4 linked regions of the Saccharomyces cerevisiae S288C genome follow. The gene in region 3 interacts genetically with the main gene of each other region. Each region holds a gene or a part of one and is shown on either strand. Other genes may lie near its edges.

The links.
Region 1: mutations in LAP2 (region 3) and ULS1 together harm fitness less than expected from each alone (positive genetic interaction), as found in Saccharomyces cerevisiae (one large-scale study listed by BioGRID).
Region 2: mutations in LAP2 (region 3) and AAD3 together harm fitness less than expected from each alone (positive genetic interaction), as found in Saccharomyces cerevisiae (one large-scale study listed by BioGRID).
Region 4: mutations in LAP2 (region 3) and YDR061W together harm fitness more than expected from each alone (negative genetic interaction), as found in Saccharomyces cerevisiae (one large-scale study listed by BioGRID).

Annotation. Positions count from the first base shown.
Region 1 is NC_001147.6:690,606-697,840, forward strand, and holds ULS1 (translocase ULS1), read left to right. Parts: upstream 1-1,869; coding exon 1,870-6,729; downstream 6,730-7,235. Other genes in the region: SPR1 (glucan 1,3-beta-glucosidase), read left to right, coding at 90-1,427. UniProt on the Saccharomyces cerevisiae protein: ATP-dependent helicase involved mating type switching and in silencing interference through its interaction with the silencing regulator SIR4. Cooperates with UBC4 and UBC5 to mediate ubiquitination of SUMO conjugates.
Region 2 is NC_001135.5:311,901-315,536, reverse strand, and holds AAD3 (putative aryl-alcohol dehydrogenase), read right to left. Parts: upstream 1,648-3,636; coding exon 556-1,647; downstream 1-555. Other genes in the region: RDS1 (Rds1p), read right to left, coding at 2,081-3,636.
Region 3 is NC_001146.8:541,334-545,531, reverse strand, and holds LAP2 (bifunctional aminopeptidase/epoxide hydrolase), read right to left. Parts: upstream 2,570-4,198; coding exon 554-2,569; downstream 1-553. Other genes in the region: YIP3 (Yip3p), read right to left, coding at 1-161, 241-264; YNL046W (uncharacterized protein), read right to left, coding at 2,710-3,228; SLM2 (phosphatidylinositol 4,5-bisphosphate-binding protein), read left to right, coding at 3,651-4,198. UniProt on the Saccharomyces cerevisiae protein: Aminopeptidase that preferentially cleaves di- and tripeptides. Also has low epoxide hydrolase activity (in vitro).
Region 4 is NC_001136.10:572,501-576,302, forward strand, and holds YDR061W (uncharacterized protein), read left to right. Parts: upstream 1-1,663; coding exon 1,664-3,283; downstream 3,284-3,802. Other genes in the region: RNA-binding ribosome biosynthesis protein MAK21, read left to right, coding at 1-1,226.

The sequences.
Region 1 (7,235 bases), on a different chromosome or scaffold from region 3:
TTAATTGTTCAATTGCGAACAGACCATCCAAAGATTCGAAAGAAAGACTGAGGTGCTCCGCATAAAATCTTTATAAACTTTAGAAGTAAATGGTTTCGTTCAGAGGGCTGACTACACTAACACTACTTTTTACCAAATTAGTAAACTGTAATCCTGTTTCCACAAAAAATAGGGACTCTATACAGTTTATTTATAAAGAAAAGGATAGTATATACTCTGCCATCAACAATCAAGCCATCAATGAAAAAATTCATGGAGTCAATTTGGGTGGGTGGCTAGTATTGGAGCCGTATATTACACCTTCTTTATTCGAGACTTTCCGTACTAATCCGTACAACGATGACGGTATTCCTGTTGATGAATACCATTTTTGTGAAAAATTAGGCTATGAAAAGGCAAAGGAACGCCTTTATAGTCATTGGTCGACGTTCTATAAAGAGGAAGACTTCGCGAAAATTGCTTCTCAAGGCTTCAATTTGGTTAGAATTCCTATTGGGTATTGGGCCTTTACAACGTTGAGTCATGATCCCTATGTTACCGCCGAGCAGGAATATTTTCTAGACCGGGCTATCGATTGGGCTAGGAAATATGGTTTGAAAGTATGGATTGATCTTCATGGAGCCGCTGGTTCACAAAACGGATTTGATAACTCAGGGTTGAGGGATTCATATAAGTTTCTGGAAGATGAAAATTTAAGCGCCACCATGAAAGCTTTAACGTATATTTTAAGCAAATACTCAACAGACGTATACCTGGACACCGTTATTGGAATCGAATTGCTCAATGAACCGTTAGGTCCAGTTATTGACATGGAAAGATTGAAAAATTTGCTTTTGAAGCCGGCTTATGACTATTTGAGAAATAAAATTAATAGCAACCAGATCATTGTAATACATGATGCTTTTCAACCTTACCATTATTGGGATGGGTTTTTGAATGATGAAAAGAACGAATATGGCGTCATAATTGACCATCATCATTATCAGGTGTTCTCGCAGGTGGAATTAACAAGAAAAATGAATGAACGTATCAAAATCGCCTGCCAATGGGGGAAAGATGCCGTAAGCGAGAAGCATTGGTCCGTAGCAGGCGAATTTTCAGCGGCCTTAACAGATTGTACAAAGTGGTTAAATGGGGTTGGTCTAGGTGCCAGATATGATGGAAGTTGGACCAAAGACAATGAAAAATCTCATTACATAAATACGTGTGCAAACAACGAGAATATTGCCTTGTGGCCCGAAGAGAGAAAACAGAACACTAGAAAGTTTATCGAGGCTCAATTAGATGCTTTTGAAATGACTGGTGGATGGATAATGTGGTGTTACAAGACAGAGAATAGTATCGAATGGGATGTTGAAAAATTGATTCAACTCAACATTTTTCCGCAACCTATCAACGATAGGAAATATCCTAACCAATGTCATTGAAATTTTGTGGCATATATTTAAGGTCTTGGGAATGTGATGATTATTATTGGAGAAAAAATTGCCATCTAAAACTCTTTATATAACATGATGAGGTATACAAATAAAAAATACTTTATATCTTATAATTATGCAAATAAAAGTGCTTCCATCAACCGCTACTTCACTTTTTATCTGAACTATGAATGGGGAGCTCATGATGATTACCTGTTGATATTACGTGAGGCGGAAGAGAAGCACGAGACACGGGTCACTCTCGATATTACCGGACAGTTTACTTAGACTATGTAACGAATATGAGAGGAAGAAAAACAATAAATAAATACAAACCTCTCCGCAGTTTTATGAAAGAACAGGACAGGGCGTCTATACCGATTTTTACATCTATCTTTTGAGTGCTTGAAAGGAGACGCTGGACTATATCTTTAGGTTAAACATCTGTCAAATGGCAGCAGTACCCACCATCGACCTTACACTAGCCGATTCAGATAATGAAGACATATTCCATTCTTTTTCGTCTTCAACAAGTGTGGATAAGATAGACATTAGGAAAGAAAATGGGAAATTAAGAATGGCAGGCTTGGAAGTCGCCCAATCTAATGACGATGCAGCACGTCAAGCATTCCATGTTTTCAAGACGAACATATCAAATAATGAAACCTTCGATACTATTCTTTCAAAGAGCAAGACAATCACAGACAGTACCTTCAACAATGAAAAATCTTCCAACGAAGTAAAACAGCAGCAAGTCTTGAAGGAAGAAACGATGGGATCTTCCAACGATGAGAAGAAAACACAAGAGAGCAGCCCAAGCGCAGAGATGATAAAACTTTTTTATGAAAACGATGATGTGCCGTTATCCGATAGTTTTAAACAAAAAGAGGAAGGTAAAAGAATAAATCAGGATGAGCAAGTGAAGGAAAATATCTGTGGCATTTCTTCCTCATACGTCTCCAAAGACTACGATGGCGTTGAAGATGATTTCGAGCCTAATACTTGCCAGGACAGCAATTTGGATTTTCAAGAGGAGAAGTTAAACTTGAATAACAAACCGTCACAGCAACAGTTCAGCGACCCAGAAACAAAAGATAACAGTTTGAAGAGCGAAAACAAAGACCAAATAAAAGGAGTCACAACAACAAGTTATCGTGATTTACCTATTGAATCTAGTGCTTTCCAGGATTCTGAAACTCAAAATAACTCCAAAAACACTATACCTAACATCGTAAATGAAAAGCGAACGCCAGCATTACCGTCCAATCTAAGCTCTGTTGAGAGTTCCCTTAAAAACGAGACGGCCAAAGTAGAGGGGAAGACGACCGTTCGTCTTCCAGGACTTCAAAATAATGTTGCCTTACTTGAGCAAGAACAAAGTGAACTATTCAAGCACTTTAGTGAACAACCTGTCGATATTAGCGATTTTGGTCGTAAGATTAAAAGGAAGCATAGCGGAGATTTTGCAGATAACAAGATACTTAAAAGACCGATATTGCCCTCAAAAAATATGGACCACACAACACATAATTCACATGATTCCGAACAGAAAAATAGCTCGATTATTATTCTTTCAGATGAGGACGAATCTGGTGCCGGTATCAATGATATAGAAAGTCCTTTGAAAGTTTCTGAACCAAATACAGCTGATGCGCTTAGGAGCAGTGTACCAGAAGTCATATCTTTACTTGACCTACCCAATATTGACTTGAATAACTCAGTAATAAAAGAAGCAAGTGGCAGCAATTCAATTCCTACATCAGAAACAGACGCACAATCCTCGAGTTCGTCAGTTCTTCAAGGAACTATCATGACAGAACAAGCTACTCAATCCTCTCAACACGAATGTAACAGTTCACTTGATACTCTAAAAAAAAATCATCAAAAATTATTGAAGGATTTGAATTCTAGAGAGTCTGAACTACGTAATGCTCTCAGTTGCTGCAAGACAAACTCTGAAATTTTAAGAAGGAAACTAAGTAGAAGAGAAAAGGAGGTCTCTGATGCTGAAAAACATTGGCAGTTATTGTTGACATCGATGGCTAGAGGGGGAAGAACTATCAGCTCAACTCAGCAGATATTAGTTGATGAAGCTGAGAACCAATTAAACAAACTGAAGGAAAAAAGACAGTTGACAAAATCGAAGCTAGATTCAATCAATTTGAAAATGTATAATTATAACGAACAATGGAAGTCCTTTGTGCATTCGAAAAATATAAACCTGCAGAAATCTTTGGCTGCCCTTGAGCGGTCAGCCAGGGATAGTAAAGCTTCTGCGACCGTAAATAAAAGAAACGAATGCCTGGCTGAGAAAGAAAAGCTAGACCAAATGTTAAAAGAAGGAACCCTAAGCTTCAGTACCTACAAGCAGTTAACAGGGGAGATCCAGCAGAAACTGAATGACTTGAAACTGGGGGACCAACGCACAACTGATATCAATAGTGTATTGCCAATAGTACGGCAACCTCTCGCCAAAAGAGATTTATTTATTAAGTCCATTGATACTGCAAAAGATTTATTAGCCAAGAACACATCCAGGACAGAAATGACGAAGAGAATTCTTTATAGACATTTGGACAACTTGGTCTCTTATAAAAACTTTTTTGAAGACGGAAGATCCTTAATAGATATAAACAGAAGACACGTTGCACATGAATCGGCCCAAATATTGTTCACCAACGGTGTAAAGATGCCCATTGTTTTTGAAACATTACAAGATTACGGCATCAAGTTTTCTAATCCAGCCATTGTCAATCCTGACAGAAGAGCCCAATATTTTAAAAGCATCGAAGTTGCACGCGATCTCATATCAAAGTCTACTAGATCAGAGGATGCTAAACGAAAGATTACTCGATTTTTGAATATAATTGAAGAATTTCGTAAAGATATTGACACCGGATTTCCACCTACTCCTTTAAAAAGGGAAGGCGTCGGAAAAGCTGTTGTTGGGCTAAGACAACAAGGACTTAAGATGGACAGACTATATGAAAATTTGAGAAGATATAAGATTCCAATAACAAGTGAAGAATTACTGCAGCAAAGCTATTTATTTCCGGTAAACGCAGATCAACGACCTCCTTCAAACTGGAACATCGTGGAAAATACCGAAGATACTAGTTCTACAGCCAATGATCTATCGATGCAAGATGAATTTCACATCTCTAATATGCATGCAGCAGAAGATCAAGAACAGATTAGGGCTCTTTTAGAGAATGTCAAACAATCTGAATCCATTATAGACGGCGAAGCACTTACTCCCGAGGATATGACCGTAAACTTATTAAAACACCAGAGGCTGGGTCTGCATTGGTTGTTACAAGTTGAAAACTCCGCAAAAAAAGGGGGTCTGCTTGCTGACGATATGGGCCTGGGTAAAACGATTCAAGCTATTGCATTGATGTTAGCAAATCGCTCAGAGGAATCCAAATGTAAAACCAATTTGATCGTCGCACCAGTCTCAGTCTTGAGAGTTTGGAAAGGTGAATTAGAAACGAAAGTAAAAAAACGCGCAAAATTTACTACATTTATTTTTGGAGGATCAGGTAACGGAAAAGTTAAGCACTGGAGGGATTTGGCAAGATATGATGCTGTTTTGGTATCTTATCAAACTCTAGCAAACGAATTTAAGAAACATTGGCCGAAAAAACTGGATGGTGAACAAAATCAGCTACCAGCTGTGCCTCATATACAAGCTCTTAATAGGTTGAAAACCTCAAATGAATACTACTCTCCATTTTTCTGCAATGATTCAACGTTTTACAGAATTTTACTGGACGAAGGCCAAAACATCAAGAACAAAAATACAAGGGCTTCTAAAGCGTGCTGTACTATAAATGGAATGTATAGGTGGGTCTTGTCTGGTACGCCGATTCAAAATAGTATGGATGAGCTTTATTCCTTGATAAGATTTCTAAGAATTCCACCCTACCACAAGGAGCAACGGTTTAAATTAGACATTGGAAGGTTTTTTCAGAGAAATAAGCAATATCAATATGATAACGAGGATAGAAAAAACGCATTAAGAAAGGTTAGAGTCCTTCTAAATGCCATTATGCTTCGTCGGTCTAAGGCTGATAAGATCGACGGCAAACCTTTACTGGAGCTCCCTCCTAAAATTGTGGAAGTAGATGAATCACGCCTGAAGGGAGAGGAATTAAAATTTTACACAGCTTTGGAATCAAAAAATCAAGCACTCGCTAAGAAATTGTTGAACAATTCTACGAGGGGGAGCTACTCTAGCGTTCTCACATTACTACTTCGCTTAAGGCAGGCTTGTTGTCATTCAGAATTAGTTGTGATGGGAGAAAAAAAAGCGGAAGGTACAAAGGTAGCTAACGGCAAAAGCTTTGAAGATGACTGGCTCAGGCTCTACTATAAAATCACTCACATGAGCGGAGAAGCGCAGGCTCAGGTTATTACTTCAATGAATTCTATGACATGTTTCTGGTGCATGGAACAATTAGAACCAGAAGCGATGTCCGTTCTGACAGGTTGTGGTCATTTGATTTGCGACACTTGTATCGAGCCCTTCATCGAAGAGTCATCCATGCTACCTCAGGCCAAGAAAACCAAAGGTGGGGCATTTGCTATCCCATGCAAAGATTGTCAACGTTTGACAAACGAGAAAGATATTGTTTCGCACAAGTTATACGACCAGGTAATAAACCAGGGATTTACTGAGGAAGATTTGCATGCAGAGTATTTAAGTGAAATGGAGAAACAAAAAATACAGCAAAAAAATGTATATGTGCCAAATTTTGAGAGTTTAGAACCATCTACGAAGATAGAGCAATGTATACAGGTTATTCAAAGAGTTTTTGATGAATCAGCAACCGAAAAAATTATTATTTTTTCCCAGTTTACAACATTTTTTGAGATTCTCGAACATTTTCTCAAAAATAAACTGAATTTTCCCTACTTGAAATATATTGGATCAATGAACGCTCAGAGAAGATCAGATGTTATCAACGAATTTTATCGTGACCCTGAGAAAAGGATACTTCTGATTTCCATGAAAGCCGGTAACTCAGGACTAACATTGACATGTGCGAACCATGTAGTTATAGTTGATCCATTTTGGAATCCTTACGTCGAAGAACAAGCTCAAGACCGTTGCTATAGAATTAGTCAAACAAAAAAAGTCCAGGTGCATAAATTGTTTATAAAGGACTCTGTTGAGGATCGTATTTCTGAATTACAGAAGAGAAAGAAGGAAATGGTCGATTCTGCCATGGACCCAGGCAAGATAAAGGAAGTGAATAGTTTAGGGCGTCGGGAGTTAGGATTTTTATTTGGTTTAAACGCTCTTTGAAGAACTTGGTGAATTTTGAAGCATTATTGCGATACACATATGTATATGTTGATAATTGGTGGCTAAGCTTCTAGTTTGTAGGCTTAAGTAACTTCACTCGTTGGCACTTACGAGCTTGGCATTTAATGGAACAGAAAATAAGCCGTAAATCGGCCCTACTTTAAGTATAAGAAATATGCGAAATTTGATATGATCGTTTGAATTACTTTTTGAAAAAGAAAATACCATTAGTAACATACAATATAAGAAGCTCGTCTCCTGGATTTGGAAATCCACAAAAGATTATCAACAATGCCACGAATAACATAATTGCTTCCCCCTCCTGTTAATTGCTTTAACTCATTATTGCATCGTTAACAGTTGTTACTAAATTTGATTTTTGTTTCTCATCATATATGTAATCTTCAAACGCCAGTATAATTATACGCTCGCAACAGCTACCATACATTAATGAACCGATGAAAATATCCCGTTTGATGATAACTGGCAATTAAATGACAGTATTA
Region 2 (3,636 bases), on a different chromosome or scaffold from region 3:
ATATATATATATATATATAGGAATATGATATAATGTTATTCATTTTCTTGTTCTCTACCACCTTCGTCAGAGGGATGAAAGCATCTCTAAATATTATCATGTTTATGCTAAATCCTGCTATTGGACCACTATGCAGTAATATTCCAATTATTGGAACTATACCAAGTCTTAACCAGGGCGTACGGGCTACGTTAATATGTCTTCCGCTAGGAAGAATGTGCGCGGATGTACTATACAGAACACGCATTTATGAACTGCACATACGCCGTTAAATAGCAGCAAAGAAGATTGTATTTTGGTACAGTTGCAAGGTTAATACAAACCTCATGTGCATATATACATATTTATGCTCATATACACCTTGTCTGAATAATAATATGTCAAGGGCGGATGGAACTGCTATCTAATTTGTAAATACCATGCAGTAAAACCATAGGAACGTTTTGTAAGCTACATGTCGTTAAGAGCATAGCATCATTGCCTCAATACATGACATTAATACCAGCAGTAACGTATTTACTGCTTTACTTGCGTAGTTGATTACTGAAAAATTATCTAAACATTATTCGTACCATATTTTTGAGTCAAGGAATTTAACACGATAAAATTATTAGGAAATCCGATGTCAAAAGGAACTATACTTTCTAAGTATTTTATATTGTCTGGCGTTAGATCGATACTGAGAGCCTTAATGTTCTCTTTGAGATCCTCAATTTTTCCTCCTTCAACCGACGGAAAAAAATTTTTCGCCTTAGAGCGAACATAGGCAATAGCAATAGCAGTAACAGACTCAGTGCCATGTTCCTCAGCAATCTTGGCCAATGCTTCACTAATCTTGATTTCTGCATCTGTTTGTTCGGAGGCGCCAACGAAAGAACGAATACCCTCTCCATTCTTCCTCCGTTCCTCCATTGCTTTTTTACTCTGAAATCTTCCACCTCCCATGACATCCCATGGGGCGAGGGCCATACCGAAATGCCTAGCCATTGGAATAATATCACGCTCAAAATCTCTGTTCAACACGTTCCATTTACCTTGGTAGATACTAAAGGGAGTTTTACCATAAGATGTAGCGTAGTAGTTTGCCGCAGAAACAACCCAAGCAGGTGTATCAGATACACCCAAATAGAGGACCTTGCCCTGCTGGACCAGAATATGCAAACTATCCATAAATTCTTCGATTGAACTCATATAATCCCACCAGTGAACGTAAAGTATATCAATCCAATCAGTTTGCAATTTGCGGAGAGAATCCCTCACACTCACATGTAAACTACGCTTGTGATTACCACAGTAGTTGGCAGTGTTACTTTCACCTGCTTTATACTTTTTATCGCTTTTTATAAACTTGGTTGCAATGACAATTTGATCACGTAACCTTCTGGACTGTATCCATTCACCAATCCATTCTTCTGATTGCTCGTTTTGGCAGTTGTTTGCGGCATCAATGAAATTTCCACCTGCCTCGTAAAAAGTATCAAGCAATTCAAAAGCTCGATTCTTGTTCATTGATTTGAGAAAATCCGAACGTGCTCCATCGTATGAGACTTCTCCTAGGATTAACGGGGATACTTTAATAGCGGCAGTTTCAGAAAGAAATCGGAGGCGTCCTAACTTGCTAGATGAGTCGGACGCGGACCCAATCATTTTAAGCACGATGGATATGCTTCTTCTAGATGATCGAAAGAGTAATTGAATTTTTTCAAGTCATCATCGAAACCAGCAAAAGATTACGATATTATCCTTCTATTTACCGCAAAGTGTGTTGTTGTTATTATATGCATATTTGAGTATCGTGATCCCTTTTTTTAATCTATTTTATGCATGTAGGACATCTCGGCCGAGCGCAATAGAGGAACGGCCGAGATACTTATTTATACGCACCGCACCTATTACATTCCGCCTGCCTAACCATGCTCATTTTTTCAAATTGACGAGCAGGTTAAAAGAAACACTGCGAAATGTGAGGAATCTTTCCGTCTTGTCGAGTCTTAAAACAGTGGAAAAAACGTGGAGGATAACAGTGTTTCTTGTTTTTGGCTTGTTTTTTTTTTTTTAGCCTTTCCAAATATCCGTATTCTCACAAAGAAGGCATATCGCTCAGATTTTCACCTAATAAATCCCAGAAGGCATCAAAATTGTTGTTTTCCAATAGTTGATTTAAAGCCTCTTCTTCGCTGATATTGAAAAATTCTTCAGCCGTGTTTTGGGACATAGCGGTATTGGCTTTTATTGCGAAGGAACTGGAGAGAACTGCATCCTCCATCTGGCACAACAGAACTTGATTGAAACTCTGCAAACTCTGGCTGCTTATTAACTTTTGTTTGATTCTTCTCGAATTATTGCAGTCCAATCCCCATTTCAATCTCACGGCTTGTTGTACTTTTGGCGGTATTTCACCATCACTGGAAATCTTATCCCAAAACCCATTTGTCACAGATACTAAGCCGCCAACATCGATCAAATACACAACGTATCTAAACATGGGAACAGTTTGGTAAGCACCAAAGTAACTATCTTGAAGTTTTCCCTTTGCTAGATCCACTAAATGTGCCATTTGGTTACGAATGTGTTTAATAAGTCTTTCTAAAATGACAATCATTTCATCTTCTTTTTCATTATCGTTAGTGGATATACTGGAAGAGGCCAATTTTTTCTGACTTTCTTGCTTGTATGAAAACCTTAACAAAATACGACATTGGAACATCCAGATCCTTACAAGCATAAAACATATTTGTTTATCTATGATATAACCGCGACTCTCTAAAATGTTCCCTTGAAACTTATTCTCGAGATAATCAGATATCAACCCTGCTAGCTTTAAGTATGCATTGAAACTTTTCAAAGTAAGGAAATGATAGTTCTTTTCATATTCTTCCCAGTGCATAACACATTTTTTTTCAAAATGTAACGATAGGACATCAAAAATGTTTAAAAAACACATACTTCCCACAATATTTGTAAGAAATATTTCAGTTTTTTGAATATCCATGACATCGAGAACCGTACTTTTGCCAACTTTGATCGCATTTGGTTCCTTTTCATGAAGGGGTTGGTAAATCGAACTTGTAGGAAAGTTCTCAGCCATAAAATCTTCAGATCTTTTAATATTTCCTAAAATGTGGAAAAGCTGCGGATGTTGTATAACTGAAGTGCAATCAGACATTAGTTTACTCAAAATGACGTGAAATTTGTACTTATTCCAAACAATATCATTCATTTGCACGTTCGATTCACTCGCAGAACTTTTTTCATACTCTGAGGAAGCTTCAATATATTCTTCGAAGTCTGTTAAATATGCCTCCATATATTCACTATTTGATTTACCAGCATCACCTTCAGCAAGAGAAATTTGAAAAAGTAATGACTGAACTCCTAACCATAATATCCGTCTCTGCCTTATCACTTCTGGATCTTTGAAACGTTTGTACTTCGAAGGCTCATATTGAAGACCTAAGGTCATGGACAAATTTAAAAGATGGTGCAGAGTAAGCAAGTTAGTGGGGCTCAGTACACAATCGGGACTCTCGGGATCTAAATGCTCTGAAACGTAGAAATATAAAAGGCAAGTAAAAGTGTTCTCATTTGGATAGCGAAATACATCCAGGAGGCATAATAGTTTATGACATAAAAGAG
Region 3 (4,198 bases):
GCCACTCTGGATTGAACTTCCCCAAAGTTTTGAGGTTTGGAAATTTTCTTGAAATTGAAAAATTCTTGCGGGGTGCGAAGGGTTGCTAATTTAGATTGCAAGGATTGGAACTCGCTCTTAATATTTTCCATGGAGAAGTTTTGAGTGAAACGTGAAACTTGCTATAGAAATATAGAAAAAAGGTTAACGCGTTAGTATAGTTTTTCAATGATGCAAATGTGTTTACAATTTAGAACTTACGGCTAAAGCTCCTAACTGATTCATTATTGGAGTATTTGATGTTATTTTATGCGTATTTGACGGCTGATAGTTCCAAACTCAGTGTTCAAAGCCCTGCAATATTGAATTCAATCTGAATTCTTTCGATTTGTATTTATATTCGTTGTTATTATTTATTTTTTCTTTTTGCCTCGATTGCATGTGACAAAAGTGCAAAATTCGTATCGCACGACACAGAACTCCGCCACTAATTAGAACCAGAGAAGTAGCAATGAAGGCTCATTAGTAGGTTATATTTAATTGTTTACGTATTCATGTTACGACACGTCCCTTTTCAAAGACCTAAATCTTGTTTCACAAGAGCTTTACAGATTGGATGATACGTGTCCTTGAATTTGTCGAAAGTTGCAAGTGCCAATCGACGGTCTACAGAGTTTAATAGTCTGTAACCGGGACGGACAAACTTCATTCTACCTACAGTTCCCAACCAATCGGCCAAATGCTTATATTCTTCTTGCAGCTTGGCAAAGATCTGAAATTTGAACATCTTGAAAACAACTTCCGCGTTCTGTGATTTAACAATGTTATCTTGATAGATATCTAACAGTGCCCTAGATGCCACGGGAAACTTGGCCCAGTCAAAATCTTTTGGTTTCTTGTTGGAATGGCCATTTTGTGTCAAAGTTTCCAAGAACAAAACCAATTGATTTGAATTAAAATCCTTAATGTCAATAGCGTTAAATTCAGACCGGAAATCCTCTGTGGTTTTCAAATGTTGAGCCATTTCGACCCACTTGTCAGCCAATTGATAAACATTATCAGCCAAAGCCGTAATAAAATGAGGCCTTGGTGGCATACCTGGTTTATACAGCCAAGTTTCCCAGTCAACGGAATCCAAAATTTCTTTCTTTTCGGGATAGAACTCATACAAAGTATCCAAAAACTGGAAAGTATCCAATGATTTTTTGGCAAACTTCTTGAAATAGTGTCTAATAAATGGATCAAATTCAGCCTTACCACCCAAAATAGTTTCCAAGTGAAATAGTAAGTTGAACCCCTTTTCGTACGGAACAGTGGAAAAGGCATCGTCAGGGTCAGTGTTATCGTTCAAGTTTTGTACCAAAGTGGAAAATCTTTCAGGATCTTTCATAGAATCAATAGAATTCTGCAAATCGCTCCAACCAATCAGAGCACTGAAATGTCTAGTTGGTTCGCCATGAATGGCACCAATAATTCTTCTTTCTAAGTAAACGGTCCAACCTTCATTCAACCAAAAATGATTCCACGAACAATTGGTCACTAAGTTACCAGACCATGAGTGAGCAAGTTCATGGGCGATGACATCAATGTTGGATCTGTCATGTGCAATCAAGGTGGGCGTAGCAAAAGTCATATTCGGAGACTCCATACCGCCGTAAGGGTACGAATCGACGTTAACTAAGATATCATAAGTGCCCCACTCGTATTCAAAGATAATTTTCTCTGCAGTTTGAATGAATTTCTCTACATCGTTTTCAAATTCCCATTGACAATCTTTCAAACGAAATGGTTCAGTGTAAACTGTGGAACGAGGTCCAATTGGAGCGCTTGACAAATCACCGGAAGCAATACCGATCAGGTAGGCTGGGATAGGGACTTTCTGTTCAAATCTGTAAATATTAGTATCCTTGCTTGTATCTTCAATCCTGATGCCTGAAAAAACCACTGGTAGTGGGGACTCGATAGATGCAGTGAAAGTAGACTTCACAGAGGGAGTATCAAAGCAGGGGAACAAAGACCTCGCATGAATAGCTTCCAACTGTGAAAACACGTACGGTTTACCGCCCTTGGTTTGCTTGCTGTTCAACCATTGCAAAGCGGTGCACTTGTCAGTCGTACGAAATTGAATATTCAAGGTAAAGTTATCGTTGCAAGAAGCGTTATTGATGACTAACCTGGAGCCCAATGGCTCCTTTCTTTGCTCAATTTGAAAATCTGCCTTGGAACCATCAATATGAACCTCCTGGACATCCAAATAGGATGTATCCAGATGTAATTCATCCGATTTATTTTTACCTTCGTGCAGTTTTTTCAATTGGAATGTAACGCTCCCTGAAATGGCTGACTTTTCGAAGGAAACAGACAGGTTTAAATCGGTGTGAAGAACTGCGAAGTCCTTATAATTTGATAAAGTAGACTGATCGTATTCGGGGGAGCGGGAAGGTCTTCTCTGCTCAATTGAAAGAGGCAACATTTTATGAGGGGTGGAAATGTGTATGTTTCTTGAGATTACAGTAAGTAAACCTCGAAATCGAAGCGTGGGCAGGTAAATAGAGCTGGAATGACGAATGACAAATGGAAGCAAGAACATCAATTAGAACACCAAGATAACCTAATACATAAAGCAAACTATACTAAAGTGCGTTTATATAAGTCAAACGAAAAAGTGGAAGAAAAAAAGTGACATGATTTTCCATACGCAATGCCCCCGGAAACTGAAGACGCATTGTGTCAAAAGATGAATGAAAGCCACGACGAAACAGCCGAAAATGGTGACAGGAGAGGGCCAACGAGCCCCGTGAGAAGACCTGTGTAGGGCGTACCCATGAAGGAGGCCCCTATGATTTTCCATTTGGAAACACTCAGGATGTTTTCTGATGACTGGATGATGATGTCCTTGAGGACCAGGAGACAGCCAAAAAATACAATTGAGATCGCGAGCACAACAACCAAAGGCCTTGTGTTGATGTCATAGCGAACATACCTTTCATTGATATGATGCGTAGATGGCGTTACTGACGGTGAGCTGTTGTACATAGAGTTTTTGACTCTCACGCTTTGATTATCCCTAAAATCACCCGGAATTCTGTACTGGGATTCAACCGGCACTGCCTGCTTCTGTACCCTTCTTTTATGCAGCAGCTTCCGCAGTTGGTTAGTGGTTCCGCATTTCTGTGATTTGCTTCCATCTACAGTTGAAGTTTTCCTCTTAAAGAATTGCCCAATTGACCTCTTTGATACGTGCTCCATTAATATCTTGCGCCGAAATTGTCACACTATGCTCACGTATGATTAGTGTATTTATATATGAATAATTCAAATGGCAGGCAGTTTCTTGTTCGAGCCAGCATTGGCGAAAAAAATGCCAAAAGTAGAAGTAAATACGGTAGACACTCCAGCAAGATAAAGCTGCAATATATAACACATCACGGCGATGCTTGTATATTTAGGAGCTCTTACGTCCACCAATGCTAATATATCCTCCTAATGATGGCGCTGATACTGGTAAAAACTCATAATGGTAGTAGTCATTAGCCAATACCTGCCTCTTTTTTCCGGGTCATGCCGCATTCTTTAATCAAAAGGCGATGCAACCTACTACATGAGAAGATGACCGCGCAAGCAAAGGTTTAGGAGAGCGTTATACGCTTTACCCAGCCGTCCATTGCACCATGTCTTACCAACGGAACAGTGCAAGAGCCTCTCTTGACCTCAGAAGTCAATATCAACAACTGGAAGGCAGAATGAGGTCAGAACATTTTAATCCCGCCTATCAACAGCAGCAACAAAAAGGCCAGAACATACCCCTGTCACTACCCTCGTCGCTTGCGCAACGCAATCCTATACCTTACCCTATCGACGCTGTGACTTCCGATCCCACTATCCCGGCTCAGTTGAACGTATATGATCACGATCGGCAAAATTCGATAGTCGATGCTGCGGCTGGCACCAATACGACGCACTCTTTGAACTCTAATAATATTCCATCATCACAAAATAATAATATTAATAATAACAATATCAATAATGTTGGTTCCTTCACTGACCCTTCCATGCTAACGCTGCCAAAAATGTCTTTACATAGCCACCAGAAGCAGTATGATTCTAACCAAAACGATCCTAGGTCCCCTCTGGCGATACTGATACCGACTTCTGCGCAGCCCACTGATGTCTTGTCTGCTAGGTTTTCTGCCTGGAGAAATGTTATTCGTGCCATCTT
Region 4 (3,802 bases), on a different chromosome or scaffold from region 3:
ATTATAGAACATTATACGAAAGTTTATTTGACCCCAGACTGGTGAACTCTTCTAAGCAGGGTATTTACTTGAATTTACTATACAAATCATTAAAACAAGATGCACTCAACGTTGAACGAGTAGAAGCCTTTGTCAAGAGAATTCTTCAAGTTTGTTCTCATTGGTTGAACGTCGGCACCATTACTGGTTTTTTCTTCTTATTAATCCAGTTGGCTAAAACAGTTCCACAAATAAAAAATCTTCTAACCAACACGCCAGTTGATTACGAGTATGAATCTGATGCAGAAGAGGAGCAAGGGGACAAGGACATAAAAAGGAAGGAATACGACGGCCGCAAGCGTGATCCAAAGTTCGCCAATGCTGAAAAATCTTCTTTATGGGAAATCAACAACTTCATCAATCATTTTCATCCTACTGTGAAAACATATGCAAACGCCTATGTGACAGGAGAAACAGAGCAAATAGCTAAACCAGACCTGGGTCTATTTACTCTATCACACTTCCTTGACAGATTTGTCTACAGAAGTGCCAAGCAGACCAATACAGCAAGAGGTACATCTATTATGCAACCTCTGTTTAGTGGCTCACGAGTTAATGACTCTGTCTTAGTTAAGGCATCTGATATTATGCATGACCAGGGTCCCGTGAACACTGAAGACTGGCTAACTAAAAAAGTTGAAGATATCAAACCTGAAGATAAATTCTTTTATCAATATTTCACTACCAAGAAAACCGCTGATGGAAAAGGAAAGAAATCTAACAAAGCATCTAATTTCGATAGTGATGACGAAATGGATGAAAATGAAATTTGGAGTGCTTTGGTTAAATCGAGACCAGATGTTGAAGATGATAGCGACGACAGTGAACTTGACTTCGCTGAAGATGATTTCAGCGATTCAACTAGTGACGATGAACCTAAGCTGGACGCAATTGATGATGAAGATGCTAAAAGTGAAGGCAGCCAAGAAAGCGATCAAGAAGAAGGCCTCGATGAGGATATTTTTTACAGTTTCGATGGAGAACAAGACAATAGTGATAAAAAACGTTCCTTCGCTGAAAGTAGTGAAGAGGACGAGAGCAGCGAAGAAGAAAAAGAAGAAGAAGAAAATAAAGAGGTATCCGCAAAAAGAGCAAAGAAGAAGCAGAGAAAGAATATGCTCAAAAGTCTACCGGTATTTGCATCTGCCGACGATTATGCTCAATATTTAGATCAAGATTCAGACTAGAAAATAATAATACATTAACTAAACACTTCGGTGTTGTAAATTAAATAAGGAAAACAGAATTTTGTACAATAAAAAACGGTCCAATACGAAACCTTGAAGCGAAAGACGCATATCAGAGTTTTGCTGATAACTCTACTTATGTCCGCTTTTCAACATTATTAGAGCGGGAGTAAACGGAAAAAGAGTAATGCGGAAATAGAAACGGATTTTAGCTACAACTATGTCAGTTGAAATCGCCGAGATTGCTGACATCGTGAGACGAAACTAAAAACGATGGAACCACGTGACTCCTATTAGAAATAAATAATCCAGAACTCATTTTTAACCATTTTGTTTATATAGGCACATTTGTAGCGACAATTTTCTGTTAGCTAATTGCAGTAAGCAAAACAAATTTGTGAATACTTGATTAATATTCTGTGAAAGATTTTTTAATTATGAGTACCAATAAGTTCGTTGTACGAATAACGAATGCGCTCTTCAAGTCATCACTGGCTAGCAACAGTCCACCTGTTTACCCTAAGAGGATTAGGCATTTCGAGATTTTACCCAACGAAAAATGGGTTATATGGGGACCTGGAAAGGGCAAGTTCTTGGATGTACTGAATAACAAGTATATTTGTGAGCCCCCATTATCTTTGAGGTTTGGATTTTTGAAGGAAAGTTCGAACATCCTGCCGAGGATAGAGCAAGTGGCCTTCAAAGGGGTTATGCCAACGGCTCATTTAAGTGCTAGATATGAATACTTCAAAGATGACTACGATCAAACCTGCAAACAGTTTATATTTGATAAGGCAAGCGGATCAAATGCTGTTTCATATAAAGTTGAGACGAACAATCGGCAAATAAACATGGAGCTGTACAATGCATTAGTTGAAAATTTAAACCTCTCCAGTTTACAGGATAGGTGGGTAATGGGATTGAGTAATGGACAAATGAGGAGAGCAAGGTTAGCTCGTAGTATACTCAAGGAACCGGATCTACTACTTATTGACGACCCATTTTTAGGGTTGGATCCAGCCGCAATAGCAACCATTTCACAATTTTTAGCCAAATATGATAGTATAGAAGTCAGTGGCGGATGTCCAATCGTCATTGGTTTGAGGTATCAAGATACCATTCCAGCATGGTGTACTCATATATGTTGCGTTGATGAGAAAAACGGTATATTGTTTGAAGGCCCAATCGAAAAACTTCAAAGTAAAATGGATGAAACCAGATCAAGGGCACTAAAAGAACTAGAGCAGCTCAAAAAAGCGTCTAATTCCAAAGAGGACATTTCCATTAACGATTTGATTTGTATACATCCTATGTATGGCAAGAAAGAGCACGAAATTATCAAAATGCCTCATCTTATAGAATTAGACGGGTTGAGCGTTTCATACAAAGGCGAAGCTGTTTTGGAAAATCTGCACTGGAAAGTTCAGCCGGGTTCGAAATGGCATATAAGAGGTGACAATGGGTCAGGTAAGTCGACCTTATTATCTTTGCTTACGGCGGAACATCCCCAATCGTGGAATTCGAGGGTGATAGATAATGGCGTCCCACGAAGAACAGGTAAAACAAACTACTTTGACCTAAACAGCAAAATAGGTATGTCATCACCCGAATTACACGCAATTTTTTTGAAGAATGCTGGAGGAAGGCTAAACATTCGGGAAAGTGTTGCAACTGGCTATCATGAGGCGTCCTCCAACAATTACCTACCCATATGGAAGCGCTTGGACAAAAATAGCCAAGAAATAGTGAATATGTATCTGAAATATTTTGGCCTGGACAAAGACGCCGATAGTGTTTTATTTGAACAGTTGTCCGTAAGTGACCAGAAACTAGTCCTTTTTGTCAGGTCTTTAATTAAGATGCCGCAAATATTGATTCTCGATGAGGCATTTTCTGGAATGGAGGTAGAACCTATGATGCGTTGTCATGAATTTTTAGAGGAGTGGCCTGGAACAGTCCTTGTAGTGGCACACGTTGCCGAAGAGACACCAAAATGTGCCCATTACTTAAGGCTCATATCTCCTGGAGAGTATGAAATAGGCGATATGGAAAATTAAAGTTTTCTGTTGTGTGGCAGCAAGAGACAGAACCTCGATAATTTGACATACGTATATAATAGTACATGTACATAAAAAGCTACGCAAATATCGTATATCTGTTATACTACAAAACAATTACTTCTATATCATAGCCAGTTAGCGGGAACGACTTCAGCTAAATGGACTATCCATGCTTTAGGCAGAGGCGAAGCGCGGTGATTGGGTGTAACATCATCTCCTTTTCTCTACGACAAATTCCCAAAAAAAAAATTTATGCTATGTTAATACCTGCACAATTCAACCGTGCTGAAACGTAAAATTAAGGTGATTATACGGATAGTATACGATATTATCAATCTCATAAGAAAAATCTCTTTTGAATTTAACGGAGGGATTATTCATTAGAAAGCGTTCTTACCATTCACTAGGAGCGAATCCGTGGAAGGTGTTTTAACGTTGCCACGAAAAACAGCTCTACATCGAAATAAAAGACAACAATCAGTGCCCGTAAGTTTCATTACTATTTTCTATTATTAT